Linked DNA regions of Schizosaccharomyces pombe. The gene in region 1 interacts genetically with each later gene. Each region holds a gene or a part of one and is shown in the gene's direction. Other genes may lie near its edges. The genes, in order: fkh1 and caa1.

Evidence for each region.
Region 2: of fkh1 (region 1) and caa1, a mutation in one rescues a mutant of the other (synthetic rescue), as found in Schizosaccharomyces pombe (one study listed by BioGRID).

Annotation. Positions count from the first base shown.
Region 1 is NC_003423.3:627,162-637,925, reverse strand, and holds fkh1 (FKBP-type peptidyl-prolyl cis-trans isomerase Fkh1), read left to right. Parts: upstream 1-5,248; 5' UTR 5,249-5,283; coding exon 5,284-5,310; intron 5,311-5,492; coding exon 5,493-5,530; intron 5,531-5,658; coding exon 5,659-5,678; intron 5,679-5,783; coding exon 5,784-5,997; intron 5,998-6,044; coding exon 6,045-6,084; 3' UTR 6,085-6,229; downstream 6,230-10,764. Other genes in the region: AFG1 family ATPase, read right to left, coding at 1-272; SPOM_SPBC115.03 (gfo/idh/mocA family oxidoreductase), read left to right, coding at 2,476-3,582; C1-5,6,7,8-tetrahydrofolate (THF) synthase, trifunctional enzyme Thf1, read right to left, coding at 6,755-9,388, 9,667-9,811, 9,862-9,896; tef103 (translation elongation factor EF-1 alpha Ef1a-c), read left to right, coding at 10,438-10,764. UniProt on the Schizosaccharomyces pombe protein: PPIases accelerate the folding of proteins. It catalyzes the cis-trans isomerization of proline imidic peptide bonds in oligopeptides. Has an important role in sexual development and serves as the target for rapamycin action.
Region 2 is NC_003424.3:1,226,264-1,237,500, reverse strand, and holds caa1 (aspartate aminotransferase), read left to right. Parts: upstream 1-5,461; 5' UTR 5,462-5,483; coding exon 5,484-6,713; 3' UTR 6,714-6,861; downstream 6,862-11,237. Other genes in the region: SPOM_SPAC10F6.15 (uncharacterized protein), read right to left, coding at 536-1,834; SPOM_SPAC10F6.14C (ABC1 kinase family protein), read left to right, coding at 3,578-5,185; protein-S isoprenylcysteine O-methyltransferase Mam4, read left to right, coding at 7,431-8,141; autophagy-associated protein kinase activator Atg17, read left to right, coding at 8,850-10,085; rio1 (RIO family protein kinase), read right to left, coding at 10,222-11,237. UniProt on the Schizosaccharomyces pombe protein: Plays a key role in amino acid metabolism.

The DNA of each region.
Region 1 (10,764 bases):
GATAGGATTGATCCCTTTTCAGCTGGCATACTATCTTGCGTTATTGGAGGTTGTGTATACGATTCCAATTCGGTATACAAACGGTTGATTGCTTTAACCGCTGTTTCTTGATACGGGTCACGTTTCCATACGCCGTCATTAACTTTCTTGTTGTATACTTCAATAGGTGTATTATGAAATGTGGTAAAGCGAACTACCCTGCAAACTCCAATGCTTCCTATAGTATCAACAAAAGCAAAACAAGGAGCTGAAACACGAAGCACTTGCAGCATGATGATATGACCAAATTAAATACAAACTTTTGAACAAAAATAATGTTTCGTAAGCTAACTAAAGTAAAGAAAAAAAGTGGTTATTGATCAATTAGTGAATTCATTCAGGAATGATAAAGTGAGAGTGGATATAAAGCTGTAGAACGATTGTAGATGAAAAGCAAAAGATTAGAAAGAAAATATGTCAACTACAAGACGTACTTAGTGATTAAAGACATATGTTTTTAAGTGAATAAATATAAATCGTTGGACAGATGCATGATTATTCTTGCCTCTGAATAGCGTTCGGCAGTGCAGTTTGCTTTTATTATAGTGAATTGCGATGATTTCGGTATATGCGTTTGCGTATTGTCTTAATCATGAGCAAATGTTAATCTGAAACTAGTAAGTCAAGCCTATTTCGTTGGTAAATAGAAACCTGTTCTTAATAAAAAAATTTCTTGTTTAAAAAATTTTAAATTTAATGGAACTAAGTATAAGCAACTATACTTCCATACGATCCCAGATAGGTGGAGTTATTCTGTATATTAGTAAAAAAGTTAATCGCATGGAATTTCAATAATACATTGGAACTCATGTTATTAAAGTATTATTTATTTCTTTTCCATTTTTTGTATATTCAACAAACAATGGCAACTTTATTTTTTGTACTCAATTAAAAAGTACGAGAATAATATTAATTTGGTCAATATCAAGTATTGCTTCAGTTTGTTAATAAGTTTGACAATTGATGTTAAGTGATTTTAAGGAAATCCCGAAGAAAGAAGTTCGTATCGATAGTGAATTTAATTGGTGCTGTAGAGTATGTTTAGTTGAATTCCGTTCATTAGTTTCATAACTATTATTCCAGCAAAACGCAGATATTTATAAAACGCCTATATACGTATTTTTTGTGATTATTTGGTTTGGCTTATTAATATTTCTTATGTTTATTCTTATTTTATTTTATCTTTAGTAGACCACAAACAAATAAATGAATTATATATTAATATACTAGTGTTTACACACAGCTACTGCATGAAGTTATGATCTTGTATGTGTAACAAATGTTGTTAAATGATATATAAAAAAGGAGGGAAATTCTTAAAACGTGATAATAAGGAATACTGAAATGTTTGAGTTAAGAACTTTGAAAGCTTCTTAGTAGATAAAATAAGGCATATGTATTCGCTATTTTAGCATGTGAATTCATGAATGATATTTTAAATTTTCACTAATTACTTTAAAAAAAAGGGTAGTAAGTTGGCTCAGAAATATAAACTGATGCCATTAGCTTAAAAAAAAAAAAGAAAAAGAAAAACTATCTTCATACGCAGTAAAGGCCTTAAATTAATAAACTCTATAAAATTTTTAAGCTCATCTAAGCGAACACCATTCAAATAGTAAAACCGAAGTGAATTGTTAAGGCGATACTTTGTATTCTGAAAGAAGGCAGGCAATAAAGAATTTTAGAAGAAGCACTTAAACAGATACTTCAAATGTTTACTTCCTCAAAATTCCCATAAGTCATTACTTTGTTTGATCTTAGGCATCAACTACGCTAAAGCTCAATGTTATAAAAATATCTTTGAGTAGATGACTGTTTATCCCATAGTATGTACATTATTTGTTCGAAAATTCCCGTTTTTATAAGAGGAAATATTGGCATGATATTAATTACAAAGCAAAAGCTATGATAACTATGGTTAACAAGCTCAACCTAATGATCGTTATAGTGTTTAATATTTTAATGACATGCTAATAAGCGATCTTTGTTAGGTAATCGAGCTGTCGAAAACAAACTACTTTTAAATTTAGTTTATTTCATCCACTTTGACTCTGTAACCTTTTCCAGATTGATTAGCAAAAATCAGTTTTTTATTACTTGAATTTTTAATTGAAATCTTACTGCTTTCTTGTTATAATAAAAAAGCGTAACTGGTATGTCTAAAATCAAAGTTCGTAAAATAGACTGATTTCAAACATTTTCTTTCAAGTATTCACATGAATGCATTTTAGCATATGTTTAGCTAAATGATGATTATGTTTGATAAATGGATCCCTTCATTCGGTTAAAATTTTATAATTACCGATTATTAATATCTGATCATATGCTTACACTGTCGTTAGTAAAATTCTTCCTTTAGCGGTTCGATATTTTCTCGTATTAAAAAAATTTCTGTATTCTACAGCTTACAAATCATTACTTTGATTAAGTTAAACTATGCCTCCGATTAAGACTGCAGTGCTTGGAACTGGTGTGTCAGCTTTTGTTTTTCATTTCCCATTCCTTGAAGCTTTACCTTCAAAATTTGAAATTTATGCATGTTTAGAACGTAGGGCAACAGTTACACAATCCAAAGCACGCTCTGCATATCCCAATATTTTGGTTTATACAAACTTGGATGAATTATTAGCCGACGTCAATATTGAGTTGGTCGTAGTTTCCCTACCTCCCAATGTTCATTCTGAAATTGTAAAAAAAGCTTTGAACGCTGGTAAGCATGTGGTTTGTGAAAAGCCGTTTACTCCTACCTATGAGGAAGCCAAAGAGCTCTATGAACTTGCCGAATCAAAAAGCCTACTACTGGCAATTTATCAAAATCGTCGGTGGGATGGTGATTTTCTGACTGCTAAAAAAATAATAGAAAGCGGAAGACTTGGTCAAGTTGTTGAATTCGAATCTCACTTTGATCGATACCGTCTGGGTCGAAAATCTGGAAGTTGGAAAGATGAACCTAGACCCGGGAACGGAATGGTGTACGGGATAGGCTCACATTTAATTGATCAAGCAGTCTCCTTGTTTGGCACGCCTTACTCTGTTACTGCCAAGCTGGAAGCTCAACGTCAAATTCCTCCTTTGGAGGTGGAAGATTATTTTCGTATTATTCTTCATTACCCTGCTAAAGGAAACAAACTTCCAATCAACGTAATTCTGTCTTCTACTAATGTGTCATGCGGCTGTGAAATGCGATTCTGTATTAAGGGCACTCGTGGTTCTTTTATGAAATTTGGGTTTGACCCACAAGAGTCACAATTACATTCAGGAATGAAGCCTAACGATCATGGATTTGGAACTGATAGATTTGAGCTCTATGGAAACTTATGGACTGTTCCTTTGGATGCTGACGTGAAAGCTTTGCCTGAACCAACTAAAATTACGGTTCCTACTGTTCAGGGAAATTACCGGGACTTCTACGATGCGGTTTTTGAGGAAATCTTAAAAAAAGCTAACGAGTTTCCTATCAAATCTGATCAAGTTTTGGCAGTAGAAAAAATAATGGAGGCTGCATATAAAAGTTCTGAATCTTCTAGCTCGATCCAGTTGTAAAAGAATATTTACAATTTTATTAAATGAAGTAACCCTTCAGTGTGAAAATCCTTGCTTGTTTTTCTTTAAACTAAATGAGAAGTGATCTTAGAATTAAAATAGTGAATATTTGGTTTTAACAATTGCGTTATAACATCTCATAGCCATAATCAATGGTAATGAATTGCATGTTTTAGAAACCGTTTAAAGAATTTGAAATGGGATTACCAAAATCATATAATGTTCAAATGAAGGGAATATTGTTTTCATATTTAAAGCTCCTTTCCAATAAGTGGACGACCACTGGGACTGAACGTACAAAAGACAATAAAGTCATACTAGTGAAAAGATTCACTGTTGCTATTCTGTAATTATCTGTTTAAGCAGCATTAAAATTTTAATGCTCGTTTCATATGATATTGTTTGCGTATTAACGAAGTTTTCACAATTTCAACACTCTATTCTGACTATTGATTCTTCTTGTCGAGCTAAAAAAATTGGTAAATGCATTGATTTTCTATTTAGTATATAGGTATACCAAAACAATATGAAGTGAAATATGCTTTTCTTACAGACACCCAAACTATATTTGAGAGCTTTTTGATTAGGATACTGTATAATAAAGATTGAATCAAACAAACCATACTTTTACGAGAAGTATGATTTATGGTACTCGGTTATTGCCATTCTGTTCATCCTCCATGCTAATTTCACAGCATGTACTAAGTGTTTTCGGAAATAAAAGTAAATCTATCTTATAACTCTCTTACGATGAACAATTTATTTTTCGTTCTGACAATAAGTTTAACTGAAATTTAATTGAATGTCCCAGCCTTTCATTAACCACTAGATCGCCAGTTCAACTAAAAAAGATTTATAAAGTTATTTATTAGCTTTCATCAAAATCCGTTTCAATAAAATTAGAAAATATGCTTTAAATTGTGCGTTTACCCTCATTTGTTACATTAAGAGTCCATATATTTACTCAGTACTTAAGTTAAACAATTGTGCTGCTCATTCTATTCCATCGTATTATATAAAAATTTTATTATTGAGTGTCCGTAATTTACAATCCTATTTCTTTTGAATTTCGGGATGATTGATACGATTACAAGCAAATTATTAAATACTGCTATGAGAGCTACATGTGTCAAATAACTTACTGTTCGAATATATTCGGTGCGCCTTATTTTAATCTTTGTTTTTAAGAATACTTCTTTTTTCTATTTTCTCAATAAAGGTTTATAGTTCTTATTGTTTATTGAATAGTGATTATCAACGAAAAGTGGTAAACAAGCTTCAAACCAGCTACATAGCTCAGTATTTACTTAAGAAAACAGTAAACTGTGGTGTGTGCTTCGTTACAATATGCTGTTTTCTTATACGAATAAGACAAAGCAATTATTATTATACTACTTGAATGTAATAACTAATGTAAGTGCGACTAGAATAAAGTCAGATGGTGTATTTTGATATATTGTTAAACCCACTCTAAGAAGTTATAGTATGCAGAATGAATAATACTAGAGTACATGGTATAGCGATAAGTAAGGAATTTTCAGTTTACTAATCGGTAAACCGGATAGAGAAGTGCATAACGAGTTTACATCACAGAATGAAAGAATGCGGTAAACTGGGCAAGTTATTCCATATACATCTTCCATTACTACTTTCGGGTTTGCTCATTAACCAACCACTTATTTTATTTGAAATCTGTTAAATATGGGTGTCGAAAAGCAAGTTATTTCTGTAAGTGTTGAAAAAATCGGTAATTTCTTTTGAATCTACAAATATCTTCTCTGGTTATGTTTGTAAACAATTCATCCGTGTTAGTCGGTTCACCACTGATTTGCATTTCCTTAATTTGTCACATTCCTGATGTCCTTGTCTCTACATTATTCCTTTCATACAAATTCTAACCTTTAAAAAAGTCCGGAAATGGTCAAGACTTTCCCAAACCTGGTGACAGGTATGTATTTAATGTGTGATTTCACTTTAACTCTTTGTTACCAAAGGAGCTTTGCTTCTCCTTTTCTTAGGGTCTATAGTGAATTTGCTTACAATTTTATTCTAAATGCAGTTACTAACACCATTTAGAATCACCATGCATTATACCGGTATGTGAAATCTACGACGAATTATTCTAGCAAATCAATTTTTATATTGTGTTGTTTTCTCCTTTCCAAAACGAATATTTCATTGCTGACATAACCGTGGGATAGGTACTTTAACCAATGGTAAAAAGTTTGATTCATCTGTTGACCGTGGATCCCCATTTGTTTGCACTATTGGCGTTGGTCAATTAATTCGCGGATGGGACGAAGGAGTACCCAAAATGAGTTTGGGTGAGAAAGCTAAGCTTACTATCACTCCTGATTATGGCTATGGCCCACGTGGTTTCCCTGGATTGATTCCTCCTAACAGCACTCTTCTTTTGTAAGTACAAATGTACATTTTTCGTGATTTATTTTTAACCTATATAGCGATGTTGAGTTGCTTGCTATCAATGATAAGAAGGCTTAAATGCTAGTGTTTCGCTTTTTATGATACATGCATCTTACTAGCGGTTGTTACTTATTCCACAATTTTTTTAGTGTTTTAAGTATAATAACGTTTCCCAGTTTAGAAATATATCTTTTTTTTTTTAATATCTTATATTTTCTTGCACTATGATATATTTCGTATAGCGATAATGATGCCTACGATCAATAGATTACTGCTAAAGAGAGAAATATTTACTTCTGAAAAATTTCACTTTCATAAGTTGAATCAAACTTCTCCGACTGTATTTCAAATAGTTAAATTACACGTTCAGTTTTCAACTAAACCATCAAGAAAAAAATCATATGGTATGATCGGTTTATTTCATTAGGTTGAACAGTATGAAAGTTAAAACAGGAATTCTATACGATTGTCAAAGAAGCAACAGTTTTTTAACGTTTTTTACTCCAAAAAGGATAAGTATCATGCAATGAACTAGCAAATTATGCTAACATTGCTAATACTAAATATGGGCCTGAAAATATAGGCATATACGGCACTTGCTAGAGTTGTATATGTCGATCATTCTGAGCTTAAATTTTAATAGTAGATATTTGAAAGAAACAAGAAAACTATTGGTTGAACAACTGTTTTCCATTGCCTTGTTCTCAGAACAAAGCAAAAGGGGTTGATAGAGACAGGCATTGGCGAATTAAGACAGCCCAACAATATCACCATTTTCTGCGATATCAATATTGTAATAGGCTGGCTTGGTAGGTAATCCAGGAATAGTAGATATGGCTGCTGCTAAAGGATAAATGAATCCAGCACCAGCACTCAAACGCATATCACGAATTGGCACGGTAAAATTAGTAGGGGCACCTTTTAGATCTGGGTCGTGCGATAAACTGTATTGTGTTTTGGCAATGCAAATGGGTAAGTTGTTGTATCCTTGTTTAGTAAACGTTTCAAGACGTTCTTTAGCCAAGGGACTCAATTCAATGCCGTCAGCACCATACATTTCTTTCGCAATAATTTCAATCTTCTTTTCGATGGGCTCGTGTACATCGTAAAGGAGGCGGAATTCAGAATCCACATTCTCGCAAGCATTTATCAAAGCACGTGCAACACCTAGAGCTCCTTTACCACCTTCGGCCCAGTGGTTAGAGTCTACAGCATCAGTTGCACCGGCAGCAAGGGCTTCTTCACGAATGGCACTAATTTCATTAGGAGAATCGGAAGAAAACTTATTGATTGCAACCACAACGGGTAAACCGTACTTACGTGCATTACTAATGTGCTTAGCCAGATTAGCGCATCCTTTACGAACCAAATCAACGTCTTCGCGCTTATAAACCTCAGGGATAGGTTTACCAGGTCCAACAGGAGGACCGCCGCCGTGTAACTTCAATGCTTGAACAGTTGCAACGATAACAATGGCATCAGGCTTTAAACCTGAAGTACGACACTTGATATTAAAGAACTTTTCCATTCCGATATCGGAAGCGAATCCTGCCTCAGTTACAACATATCCAGCTTCTTTCTTAGCATCCTCATCCACTTCGGTACCCGCTAATTTGAGGGCAATGCGATCAGCCAGAATGGAAGAGGCACCAATACTGATATTTGCAAAAGGGCCAGCATGAACAAGAGCAGGAGTACCCTCCAACGTTTGCATAAGTGTTGGTTTAATTGCGTCTTTGAGCAAGACTGTCAAGGCACCACCAACTCCTAAATCATCAGCGGTAACAGGTTCACCAGATTTGTTGCTGGCAACAACCATGCGGCCTAATCGCTCACGCATATCTTTCAAGTCAGTAGCCAAGGCCAAGACAGACATACATTCGCTAGCGACAGAAAGATCAAAACCGGTTTGGCGAGTGAAACCCTTTTCCGTAGGATTCTCTCCAATAGTAATTTTACGAAGAAAGCGATCGTTAACATCCAAAGTACGATTCCATGAAATAGTTGAAGGTTCAATATCCAGCCTAGCAAATTTTCTTTGCTCTTCTTCGGTTAATTCTTCAGGATTAGTTTTATCAATGCCAAGCTTTTTCAAGCGACGGAACATGACGGGTGCAAACTCTCGTTTGTTTCCCTTAACCAAAGTCAAACGTTTATACAAAGCGGCATCGGATTGTGTGTTTTCATGGAACATACGGGTATCGATGGCAGCAGCAAGCAAGTTGGTAGCTGCTGTAATTGCATGAATGTCACCAGTTAAATGAAGATTGAACTCCTCCATAGGGATGAATTGAGAATAACCACCTCCGGCAGCACCACCTTTAATTCCAAATGTGGGGCCTTGAGAGGGTTGACGAACACATGCAATAGCAAGCTTGTCCAAGTTTGAAAGCGCTTGAACGAGTCCTGCAGTAAGTGTACTTTTACCCTCGCCGAATGGAGTAGGAGTGATACCAGTAACTACAACGTAGTGGCCGTCGCGACGATGAGCCAGACGTTGAAGAATTTCAAGGTTGACCTTGGCTTTATGGGATCCATAAAATTCTAATTCAGATTTTGCGATACCAATTTCGGAAGCCAAGTCACCAATATTTTTAGGGGTTTGTGAACGCGCAATCTCAATATCACTAGGAACAGGGGTCTGAAGCTTTAAAGGAAGAAGAGTTGGTTTACGCTTGCGAGACATTTTGCGAAAGCGAACAGCTGATTCAACCACGTTTTGCAGCAACATGGCTACGGTCATAGGACCAACAGAACCAGGGACAGGTGTGATTGCGCTGGCGACCTCCTTGGCATTTTCAAAGTCAATATCGCCGGTAAGACGGTAACCAGACTTCTTGGTGGCATCTGGAATAGAGTTGATACCAACATCAATAGCGACAACGCCCTTTTTCAACCAGTCAGCCTTGACGAAATGAGGAATACCAATGGCAGCAACGACAATATCAGCTGTCCTAACAATATCAGCAATAGATTCCGTCTTTGAATGACATAAAGTAACTGTGGCATTTGCCTTTTCCAAAAGTATGGACATTGGACGACCAACAATGTTGCTACGGCCTATGACAACAGCATGCTTTCCTTGGACATTAATCCCGTAATGTTTTAAAATGCACATAATACCTTTTGGGGTGCATGCGGTAAACAAGGGTTGACCTTCGCGCTTGGTCAATTTTCCCAAATTAGTTTCACAAAAACCATCAACGTCTTTCTCGGGAGCGACGGCTTCTGTAATAATCTGCTCATTGATGTGAGCAGGCAGAGGTAACTGTACAATAATACCGTGGACAGTAGGGTCCTCGTTGAAGCCTTTGATGGCAAGCAGCAAGTCGTATTCTGTAATATCTTCAGGAAAATTCACATGCTCACAGGAGATTCCAGCCTAAACAGTTAGAAAATAATGCATGGATTTAATTGAAGGAGATGTAAAAGAAAGAAAATGAATTTAATGAATAAGAGAATTGCAAATATTTAAATAGTCCACCCAAGCATCATCTACCTTCTAACATTATCGAAAAACCAAAAAATCATCCATCGCGCCAACTAACGCCAGATTGTACATGAGTGTTAGGGTGAACTTTTAAAACCAGTGCGCTTTTAATAACTCGTCCCTACGCATTTCAATCATTTTAGGAGACCCTTCTCCGCCTTCACTCATACCTCATTAGCTGCACGAGTTTTCATGCGCACATATACATTTGAGTCCTCTCTACCTCCGACTTGAATGATTTTTAAAGAAACGTTGAAATAAGGGTCAACAGATTTAATCGAGGAGATCTGCTCCCGAAGTTCTTCTCGAACTTTGCTAATTCAACTGTTAGACAAAACTATATATACACGATAAAAAAGACATACCGGGCCAAAGAAGTACCCTCCAAAAGCAAAGCCATCAAAACTATTACCGTTGTGGTGACGGACAAAGAACAAACAAAAGCAGCTAAGGTGGGTATATCAGCGAAAATCTCAGTCCACAATCTCAATCCGATCTGATAACGGCCATCAAAAATGGTTCAATGATACAACTAAATATTTTTCATCATTTAATAAACCAGATATATATTTTTAAATTAACGAAAAACGATCCATTTCATATATACAGCGTTGATCGTTTCCGCCCAATAAATCAAAATCGCCAAGAACGACGTTCGCTAAGCTAATGTTTATTGCGGTGGCAAATTCGGCTAAGTGTACTCTAAAGACAAAAGGTTAAGAAGCAAAGAAAAATTTTAAATGACATCATGACTTTCCTGCGCAAACAAAATTCGTTCGCTGATAGGCTCACGACAATATTTTAAGCCGGAAAAAAAGAAAAAAACTTTCGAGACGTAACGAACGTTATGTGACTGCTTTTTTTGCGCAAGTATATATGTAGGCGCTGGCGCCCTTCGCTTCTACCTAGAGTCTGTTTCATCGAACTCACATTAAACAAAAATGGGAAAGGAAAAGGGACATATTAACGTCGTTGTTATCGGTCACGTCGATTCTGGTAAGTCTACCACCACTGGTCACTTGATTTACAAGTGCGGTGGTATTGACAAGCGTACCATTGAAAAATTCGAGAAGGAAGCCACCGAGTTGGGTAAGGGTTCCTTCAAGTACGCCTGGGTTTTGGACAAGCTCAAGGCCGAGCGTGAACGTGGTATCACCATCGACATTGCCCTTTGGAAGTTCGAGACTCCCAAGTACAATGTTACTGTCATTGATGCCCCCGGTCACCGTGATTTCATCAAGAACATGATTACCGGTACTTCTCAAGCT
Region 2 (11,237 bases), on another chromosome or scaffold:
AAAAGTAAATATGGTGGAAAGTTTAAAGAATATTAAGGTTCGCTTAGTTTTCTGCTCAGCAGGCAACCGCAAAGCGAAAATAGGCATTGTTTTTATTCTTATACTTACAAAAGGAACGGAAACTGTAAAGAATACCGAGTAAGGTCAAGAATTTTTTGGTTTCTGTTTTTGTTTTCTTCGCTTTTACGTGATTTTAATTTAAACTTTTGTATATCATTTATAATTCAGTCATGTCATTCCCCAACCAAATACATAAGGTCAGGATGTGAGTGTAGTTCGGTAATAATGTGGGTAAAAAATCGTTTCGTTCCCGTTGTCACAAAACGATAATTCGGTCCACCGATTCACCATAGCTGGTCAACATAAATCATCTGCTTCGTTAGATTTTTTAGTAAAAGCAAACTCAATTCCTTTCGCATATAACTTTAGGCTCACCCATCAAGCTTGATGTTGGGTTCTTTTTTGTGAAAGATGTTTTCGGATTGGCGAATTCAGCCAACTCGAGATTTTCTTCGGAATTCTATCAATCCTCATCTCATTCAGCAGGTATAATCAGTTGAATCGCTATATCTTCTCCATTTTCATCTGAAGGTGTATCCAGACAATTCAATGTTAGTCTATTGGTTAAGCAGTTATCTTTTGACGAGCAAAAATTGCTTGATTTTGCTGAACCTGCTTCAGAAAAATTTGGTAAATTTGGCAATGAATGAAGACCCGTTGGATTATTGAACAATTTTTTCATGTTACACTCCATCTCGGCGTTGAATTGGCGACATTTGCAGAGATCTAGCAACAATTGGTTATAAAAGTCACATTCCTTTTTGGATGAAGGCGGATTCTTAAAGATTGCACCATCACTATTGTACAAAAGCAACGTCGACTCTGGTAGTTTACCGAGAAATATATTTTTTTTCATATTCAAATAGAGATGGATTGGGAAGGCATAACCGTTTGAGCCAATACAGTGAATCATTGCAATCCAACCGATGTCTGCTTCAGAATTAGCACACTGAAGAATTTTGTCAAATCCATCAATTTCATAAGGTAGATTATTTTCCAATAGCGGCTTACGAAGCTGTACGTATGACTGAAAATTCGACGAACTTACTACAATGCAGTTACATGTCGAGCCAAGAGCAAAGATATCCCTCGGATTTACCAAATACATGCGAATATTTCCAATTTTCTTCTGTACAGCTAACTTTTGGACAGTACTGTATGCTTCTCCTGAATTGTTTACATAATGCTCAACTGCTGCCCACAAGGCTTCCTGAAGACTTTTCGGGTAATATTGATAGAGCATGACATGATGAATCAAAACAGTTAATGGAAATTCGCCCGAACGTAGATAGTCGCACAAATATTTAAATAGAGCTTGATGATTTCGAAGTAGATGCGAAACTGCTGTCTGTATACAAGAATGATTATCGATCAAGTGATAAACCTGATCAGGAAGGCAAAACCCGCTCTCATCCATTTCATAACCAATTTTCAAATAGACACCACTAAACGTATGGAAAACATAAGATAACCAACCATCATAAAACAAATTTGGAATGTCAAAGCGATCTGGCAGCTCGAATTCTTTTAACTTGAGAATTTTACATGTACACGGTATCCACGAAATTGAGTCTAAAAGTAGAAAATGCGTATTGTGAGGATATTCAATATCTGCATATGTAATCGCAGCCATTGGATTTTCACATTGGCATTTCATACAAGCCAATTGGCGCTTATTTCGACGCATGCATAAAATTAGAAATTTCGATATTTTCAGAGCGAATTTGTGAAGTATTGTTGAATGAAACTTGACAACATTTGCATTATAGTTCATGGAAAATAATAACTATGTTTGCATAACACTAACAAGTATCAGAAATTATAGTTATAGGGAAACCTCAACAGAAATTAAGCACTTTACAATATGCCAAAAGATCCAGCTTGAACCAGCTGGCAAAAAAAGTAAAAATGCTGCGTTGTAGGATTAAATCAAATTAGTAATGAGAGAGGTAAATCATAAAATCCCATCGTCAAGAGATTACGAGCAATCTAATTTTGAAGGAAAAAAGCCCGCAAACAATAAATGATGCCAAAAATTCGCAACCAAGTAATGTAAACAATAACACAGCTGAGCTACTGCGACTTATGTTATTATGCTACCTATGCTATTTCCATCACTAAACCAAACTGTTACTACCGCAATTAGTAAAACATTGATGGCGGCTAAATTTGCAGTTCTTTTGCTTGACTTATCTCTGAAAATTTAATGCATGGATAACATATCTGAACCCCAAACATTCGTTTTTAACGAGCCTATGCCAACGTACCTTAACACTTTCAATAAGAAAAAGCAAAACTTGATATCACGCTACATAGCACCTATAATTCATTACAAGAAAACATAATTCATTAAATAACGTAAAACAGCTCTAGAAACAAAAAACTTATATGAATACCAAAATCAGACCAAATAACTCAACAAGACGCTATCGCGTTTCAGTGCTTGACTCTTTGTATTTGTCGATCATCATATTTTGGGAAAAGCTACATTTAATAATATGCTAACTAAAAGTAGGTCTGGCTTGATTCGAACAAGCACTCCGACAGAGTAAACCAAATTTTCAAACCTTTTTCTTTAAGGAAAAAAACCTTTGAGCACGAGACTAAGCCCCATTGTGATACATCAACAAATGGATGCGACCGTATAACTATCAACTACGACGAAAAACCACAATTCAGAAATGGCGTAATCAACCATACCGTTCGTACACTAGACGCTCAAGAAACACAACTCATAGACTGTATTCCTTATCTACTCCATTCTGGACAAGGAGTTATATCTCTTGAGGTTTAAAGTACAAAGGCTAAAGGAAAAACTAGCGCCATTAATGAAACCGCTGATTCTTCAAGTCAGCACGTTACCGCCTGTCCCAATCTCCATGGAGATCAAGACGCAAGAGTCCGGGGACTTTCCCTAAAGCTGTTTAGAGGAATAAAAATTCCTGTATGACTGCTTCAACCACGATCGTTCGAGCTCAAAGGTATCATTTGGAAAAATTAAAGTGGAAACAGTGGTATATATATTACTGACTATTTACGTGACTGTTTATAACCCTAACCTGTTTTTGGATTGAATAGATCTGTTGCTCTGCGATTCTTCGACGAGCAATTGACCGACATAGCATTTAATACTTTCAGTATATCAATGAGCAATGTTCTTAAGTGTTATCGGAGCTGTAGTAGCATATCACCTTGTAATAAAAAAGTTATTGACAGAATCCCTCATTCATAACGACTACACTGAATATCATTATTTATGAATTGTGTAATATAATGTCTAAAATAATAGTATACTGGCGACGTTATCTTCAGTTAATTTATCAAAAGTATGATACGCTAAATGGGAGAATGCATTTCAATGGCTGCCTTAGGTCAGAAAGTTGAGAATGTTGAAAGGACACAGCGCCAACTTGATCTATTTATGATAGTCCCTTTACTACCTTCCTTGAATCCAAAGTGTTGAACTTAGTTTACTTCTGCTCAAATTCGTCTTCTTCAAAGCCTTCATCCCGTAGAGATGTTGACTTCGTGGAGAACAATTTCTCTACTGCAGAAAACTACCAGTCGCTTCATTAAGCGATCAAAGACATATGCTGATGTACGTTATAACAGTCAAGCATTGCAAAATCATGGAGTTCCTGGTAACAAACGTAAATGGATGAAGAGGTTCGTATTTGTTGGTGCTGCTGGAATAGGTGTCTACGCTTGGGATCGAGTGTATAATGCCCATGCACTTACCCGTAGTATTAGAACAGTATACACCGCTTCTATAATTGCGGCTGACTATAAGTTGAATTTCAGCGAAAAAAAGGCAGACAAAATTGATGCTTTGCACCAAAGAGTAGCACAGAGACTGTTTAAAACGATTTACAAAAATGGCGGTTTATACATCAAGATGGGTCAAATCATTGCTATGCAATCAAATAATTTGCCTGAAGCGTATGGGAAAGCCTTTCAGGGAATGTTTGACAATGCACCTCAAGTTGAATGGGAAGAACTTCAAGACATATTCAAAGAGCAATATGGAAGACCAGTAGAGGAAGTATTTGCCAGCATTGAGAAACGTGCTGCTGCAAGTGCCAGTATTGCGCAGGTACATCGTGCTGTTTTACCTAGCGGTGAAAAGGTCGCGGTAAAAATTCAAAAACCAGATGTTGCTAAGCAAATGTCGTGGGATCTTCTCGTGTACAAATACATGATGTATGTTTATGATAAATGGATATTTCATATCCCTCTCTACTTTACGGTTGATTATGTCTCGGAAAGATTACGTTCTGAGGTTGATTTTACAACTGAAGCTAACAATTCGGAACATGCTCGTGAAGGGGTAGAAGAAACTGATTATTTAAGAGATAAGATATATATACCAAAGGTTTATAAAGAGATTTCTGGAAAGCGAGTAATGGTTACTGAATGGGCTGATGGCATTCCCCTCTATGATCAAACTGCTCTTTCTGAAGCTGGGATGAGCAAAAAGGAAATTTTAACGAACCTTTTCAGATTCCTTGCCTTCCAAATGTTTCATTCGAAACAAGTTCATTGTGATCCACATCCTGGAAATATCCTTGTTCGAAAAAATCAAGCAGGCTTGTGTCAAACGGTAATTTTGGATCATGGGTTATATGTATTTGAATCAGAAAAGTTTAGAAAAGAATTTGCCTTGCTTTTCACTGCAGCCTATTCATTAGACAAAAAATCTATTCTTCAGGTAATGGATGCTTGGGGGATTGGACAACCTGAGCTTTTTGCTAACCGCATGTTAAATATTCCAATGGATGAAGAGCAACCTCACACTGGTGAAAAAATTATTTCAAAGAAAGAGGCCTTCCAACAGCAGCTTGCTGAACGCAAAAAGTTCATTGGCTTCTTACAGGACTGCACTCGTTTACCGAAAGAGCTGTTAATGCTAGGTCGCTGCTTAATGCTTATTCAAAAAAATAACCAAAATTTTGGGTATCCAGTGAATAGTATAGCTGTTATGGCCAAGGTTGCTGATAAATACACTACCGACAAACCTAGTCCAACTTGGTATCAACGGCTGTTGTCGCCTATTTTTTGGGTCTTTCAACATTTATTTTACCCTGGAAATTTTCGGTTGCCTGAACTTACTAATGATAAAAAATGATATTTATAGTAAAGATTACTTTTCTTTATGGAAAGCCAATCTTTGACCATAATAATATAACTTCACATATTGCCTACTTTTCTCGATAAGACACTTCAGAGCTCCTCCTTGTAAAAGTTAAGCTCCTCCCTATACGAGTCAAACTTTGTATCGTTATTCACTATTACAGTACATCAAGCTCGGTATCTTATATGTCAATGAAGTATACTGATAATATAGTGATACTAAACCGAGTGATAAATATATATATATAGTAGATCAGTAAGGTTGAAATCTACCTACCGCATATTTAACCACAATGTCAGACTACGGGTTTGCAAATATTGAGGAAGCTAAGGCAGATGCAATTTTTAAATTAAATGCTCAATACCATCAGGATGAAGATCCCAAGAAGGTTAACATGAGTGTTGGCGCCTATCGTGACGATACTGGTAAGCCTTGGATTTTGCCTGCAGTTAAAAAAGCATCTAAAATAGTGGAAGAACAGGCAAGCTTCAACCATGAATATTTACCAATTGCTGGATTGCCTCGTTTCACTAAGGCTGCGGCTGAAGTTCTTTTCAGACCCAATCCTCATTTATTGTCCGAGGACCGTGTTGCATCTATGCAGTCAGTCTCTGGTACTGGTGCCAATTTTCTTGCTGCTAGTTTCATTGAGACTTTCTATGTAAAGCACACTGGAGCCCATGTATACATCTCCAACCCTACTTGGCCTGTCCATCGCACTTTGTGGGAAAAATTGGGAGTCACTGTAGATACATATCCTTATTGGGATGCCAAGAATAGATCTTTTGATTACGAAGGCATGCTAAGTACCATTAAATCTGCTCCCGAAGGAAGTATATTTTTACTTCATGCTTGTGCTCACAATCCTACTGGTATTGACCCCACTAGGGAACAATGGCTTTCTATATTCGAGAGTCTGCTTTCTCGCAAGCATCTGGTAGTTTTTGACATTGCTTATCAAGGTTTTGCCAGTGGTGATCTGAATCGTGACTCTTGGGCTCTAAACGAGTTTGTCAAATATAACAAGGACTTTTTCGTTTGTCAGTCATTTGCTAAAAATATGGGTCTTTATGGTGAACGTACTGGTTGCATGCATTACGTTGCAAAGGACGCTTCCACTAAAAACAAGGTCTTATCTCAATTGTGTATTGTTCAACGTAACACCATTTCTAACCCTCCCGCTTACGGTGCACGTATTGCTGCCGAAATTCTTAACAGTCCTCAATTGTTTGCTGAATGGGAACAAGATTTAAAGACTATGTCTTCTAGAATCATTGAGATGAGGAAACGTCTTCGCGATTCTCTTGTTGCACTCAAAACCCCCGGTTCTTGGGATCATATTACACAACAAATTGGAATGTTTTCTTTTACCGGTTTAACGCCTGCACAAGTCCAATTTTGCCAGGAGCGGTACCATCTTTATTTCAGTGCAAATGGTCGTATTTCTATGGCTGGTTTGAACAATTCTAATGTAGAGCATGTTGCACAGGCATTTAACCATGCTGTTCGCGAGTTGCCTTAAACTGATTATTAATACCAAAGTCACATAGATAAGTATTGGATTCATGAATACAGAATTTTGGATTGTTGTAAATTTGACGAATTTAGGAACAAATTCTTTAGCAATTTAGAGAACTAGTATATGCATTTATTCTTTGAATTTTTGAATAATATGAAGTTATCTGTTCAACTCATACACCGGGACTTCTCCTTTGTGAGTTAGACATCAGTATTTGGCTCATTATTTGCAAAACAAGTTGATATCAGTTTGTAATCGGATATGTTTAGACAAAACTGAGAAAGAGTTCTTTTTTAATAATTCATAACTTGCAAATTGATTAATGACAGAGTATTTGAATTCTTTGTTATATCGAGGTTTACTACATTAATATAATACAACTTTTAGCAACTATTAGAGCCAATACAAAGAAAAGAAGTCAAAACTTAAGTAATACAATATGAGTATGATTTTCTTTGTTTTACTTCCCTATTGTGTCAACTATAATTTTAAGCAGGAAATTTTGAAAATATCCTAATAACTCGAAAACCAGGCTAAAGCAAGGAATATCCCTCTTTGCATAAATTTTATTTCTTCTCGTGTCTTTCCTCCAATAATTAATAATTATAACATCTCTAAATGTGTATGAGTTAGTTTGTTAGGACATTTTGACTCAATAATTCTTCTCGATAAATTTAATAAAGAAAGTTGAATTCACATACCTGAATTTAATATACAATCATGGGGAATTTACATACGTCAATAGCTGTAGCATCTATTTGCTTAACCAGCGCCTTTCTTGGTTGTGTTTTTGGTTTGGGATTTTTCGTATGGATTATATACGGATATAGTATTGGAGGTTTTTTTGCATTTCTGAGTCTTTTTCATCTATTAGAGTTTTACATTACTGCTCGTTTTCAAGGTAGTCAGTTATCATGGGATTCTTTCATATTGAATAATGGCAAAGCCTACTGGTTAGCGATGTTAGTCGGCCTTTTAGAATGCTTATTAAGTGGCGGAAAAAGTTTTGCTAAGGTAATAAATTGCTTAAGATTTCCGAGCTTCTTAATCAACTTTATATTTTCGGTATATCAGACATCTGCTCTGGGATTTCTTTGTTTGGGACAATATCTACGATCCTCTGCAATGGTACAAGCCGGTCAATCTTTTTCTCACATTGTAGCTAGTAAAAGAAATAAAGATCATTTGCTTGTCACTGATGGGATTTATGCTTACGTTAGACACCCATCATACGTTGGGTTTTTTATCTGGGCTTTGGGCACTCAAATGTTGTTAGGAAATTTTGTCTCAACATTACTATTTTCTCTAGTTCTTTGGAAATTTTTCTCACAGCGAATTACTACCGAAGAAGCTTACTTAGTTAGTTTTTTTGGTGATTCTTACGAACAATATCGAAAGAAGGTCCCATCTGGAATTCCCTTAATTCCATAGGTTCACTATTATTGTTATTTGAATAGTTGATAAAAGCATACTTAAATAATTTGTATCATCATCAAAGCAGCTTTTAAAGGTCTGACTATACAAATCTCATAACAAATTATTTTTATAGCCTTTTTCTCCTTCAAGGCTAATAGATATCAATTGTCCAAATAACAGCGCTTTGTCTTGCAGAATTTTAAAGATGTTTTCGTAGCTCCGCTAAACATCGAAGTGCCATTAATATGATCAGCTAATCTGAAATTTTCTCTTAAAAAATAATAGTCTGTTTACTTTTGAACCACAATAATTCTGAAAAGATTTACTGCTTAATCATTACTATTCATAGCTATAGTACTCTTAACAAACATTTCTTCTTCTTAGTTTTCGTTTATGGTTTTAACTATATTATAATTATCGCTTCAGTCAACTTTATGTAAATAAAGAAAAATAGCGAAAAACAACTGCAATATTGTGCAATTTATTTGCTGTAGTTCGCAAGCTCTCATTAATATGTGCTACATGCGCTCACTTGCTATATTTCAATTTCGCCGCAAGCATACAACTCTGCTTCACAATCAATTCCTTTGTATTAAAGGTCCTTTTGAAAAGTTTGTTGGCCGATATATATATAAATATATATCTATCCTTATATATCTATATAGTTTCTTTTCCAGTGGAGTGCATACAAGAGGAATACAGTTTTACCGCGTGAGTGCGGTGATGGAATTGTTGCAGCAGTGGACTCAGCAAGCCAAAGCAGCTCTTACTCAAGCCAGGCAACTGTGTGGTGATGCACATAAGTTTAATGAAGATGCAAAAACTGATTTGAGAAATTCCATAAAGCAGCATCAACAGCTAAAAGAGTTGGCGAAGCTCACAGCATCTCAATGTACTCGTTTAGACTCTTCAACAGCTCTTATTAAGCAGTTATTAGATCTAGTTCAAAATTATCCAACATTTAATCAATTAAACGTCCTTCATGATCGATTGGAATCGTCACTTAAACGTCTTCGTGACTGTACATTAGATCCAGCCTTAGGAAGCGAATATACCAATCTTTATGCATTTGTAGATGATACTGCATTAGAAGATTTGAAAACCAGGCTCCGAGGCGTAACTGATGGTGTTTGGAATGCTTTCGAAAAGCTAGCGGGTTTACTGGAAGAAGATTTGTGTGCCAATTATCATAAACGTTTAGAAGCTGTTTCATTAGACTTCTTACCTCCCGCTTATAACGATACTGCCGAAGAACTTGCGGATTTGCTTTTGCAAGTTGCTCAACATTACGATCAATGCTCCGAAGCTCTCAATATTTATGACACCCTTTCTGATGCGGAGAAGAAAGATCTCCAAGAAGTGCTTCAATCAGACTCTAATCATGTTCCTTCGGTATTGACAGAACTTAGGAGTGGATTAGATCAAACAATTCATTATTTCAACGCAGTTCAAAGTTATAAGTCAAAGGTAGATTCGGCAACATCGATTTTGGAAGCCTTGGCTGAGGAGTTAAACAAAAACCAGTTGACTAATCAAAGGCATGAAGCCGCGCATGAGTTAATGAGGGCGCAAACCGGCCTGGAGATTCCGCAATTAGCTCAAGAACTCGTGCAGCTTGAAAGACATTACACACATTTTGCTAAAGCGTATACCGCTCTCCTTCAGGAAATTCACAGACGACAAACCTATGAAAATTGTGTAAGATCCATTGTGGACGAATTTGTGGGACGCCTGGAGAAGGAACAACAGGCGGAGGCGAAATGTCGTATCGATTTTTTCAATCAATATGGTGATTATTTACCCCAGACTCTATGGGGAGCTGTAACAGATCCTCCTTTACATTTTGAAATTATAGAGCACCAATATACAGAATTGCCAAACGTAAAGGTAATTCCTGATAAAAACGATAAGAAATCGAAGCAACGTGAAAAATCTTCTACTACAGCCTCTAAGCGATGACCCTGTTAGCCATATTTTACGATTTTTAAAGTCTATAAACGTATAATGATTTTAGTTATGCTACTAGTTTATGAGTATTGTATAGACTTTTCCAATAAAGATAATTATATAAAATAACCGTAATTTTTTCCCCTGATTACTTTTTTCTTCCAGATTGTTTTAGTTTGCGCTTCTTCTCATACTTCGGAATCTTGGATTTTCTTTTCTCAGCCTTATCTTCTTTGGTTTTTTTTTTCCGTGCCCTCTTCTCCTCCGGTGTCTCCTTTGCACGTCCGTTTCCTTTACCTTGTTTTGCAGATGATTTTGAATCCGAAGTCCGTTCTTCTTCATTTTCCATACTACTTATAGAATTTGCATCATCATCGCTCTCCGAAGTCTCATTTGGGAGGATTTGATCGTTTTGATTTTTTGTAGTGTCATTTAAATCCAATTTTTGAAAGTCTGTATTTAATAAGTGCTTATATACAAGGCTATTAACACCTCCGGCGTTTACGATTTCAGTATCTCGATCAATGTCGTATACCTCATCTAAAGTCCGAGGAACATAAGTTTTTAAGAATTCCTCTTCGTATTCTTCTGTAGTAGGTTCTTCCTCATAAATTGCATTTAACCGGGTTTTCATGGCTTCCTTTTCACAACTTCCTTCTTCAGTAATGAATTTAAATAATTGAGGTAAAGATAAGCAACCAGCATTCAAACGCCTAAAGAATGTAGAAATGTTTAAAATATCCATTCTTAAAAAATCGATGCTCTGCGGGTGGTCATGTTCAACCGATTGTGATACATCAATAAAATAAACTTTACCTTTATGATAAAGTAAATTATATTCTGACAAGTCAGCATGCACGAGATGACAAACATGAAACAAAATACGCATATTCCGTGCTACAAGCTGATATAATTTAGTAGCCTCACCAGGCGTCATATCTATATCCTTTAACTTGGGGTATGCCCATCCTTTCTTGTCCCCCAGAAACGACATAAGCAAAACGTGCTGCTTCAATAAGATTGGCTCTGGGCAAGGAATACCAGCAGCAGCCACACGCTTCAAGTTTCTTATTTCTTTTTCAGCCCATAAGCGTACCATTTTTCGGGGATTGCGCTTGTTATACCCATGACGAAAACGAAATTCTCCAGAAACATAGCGGTCAC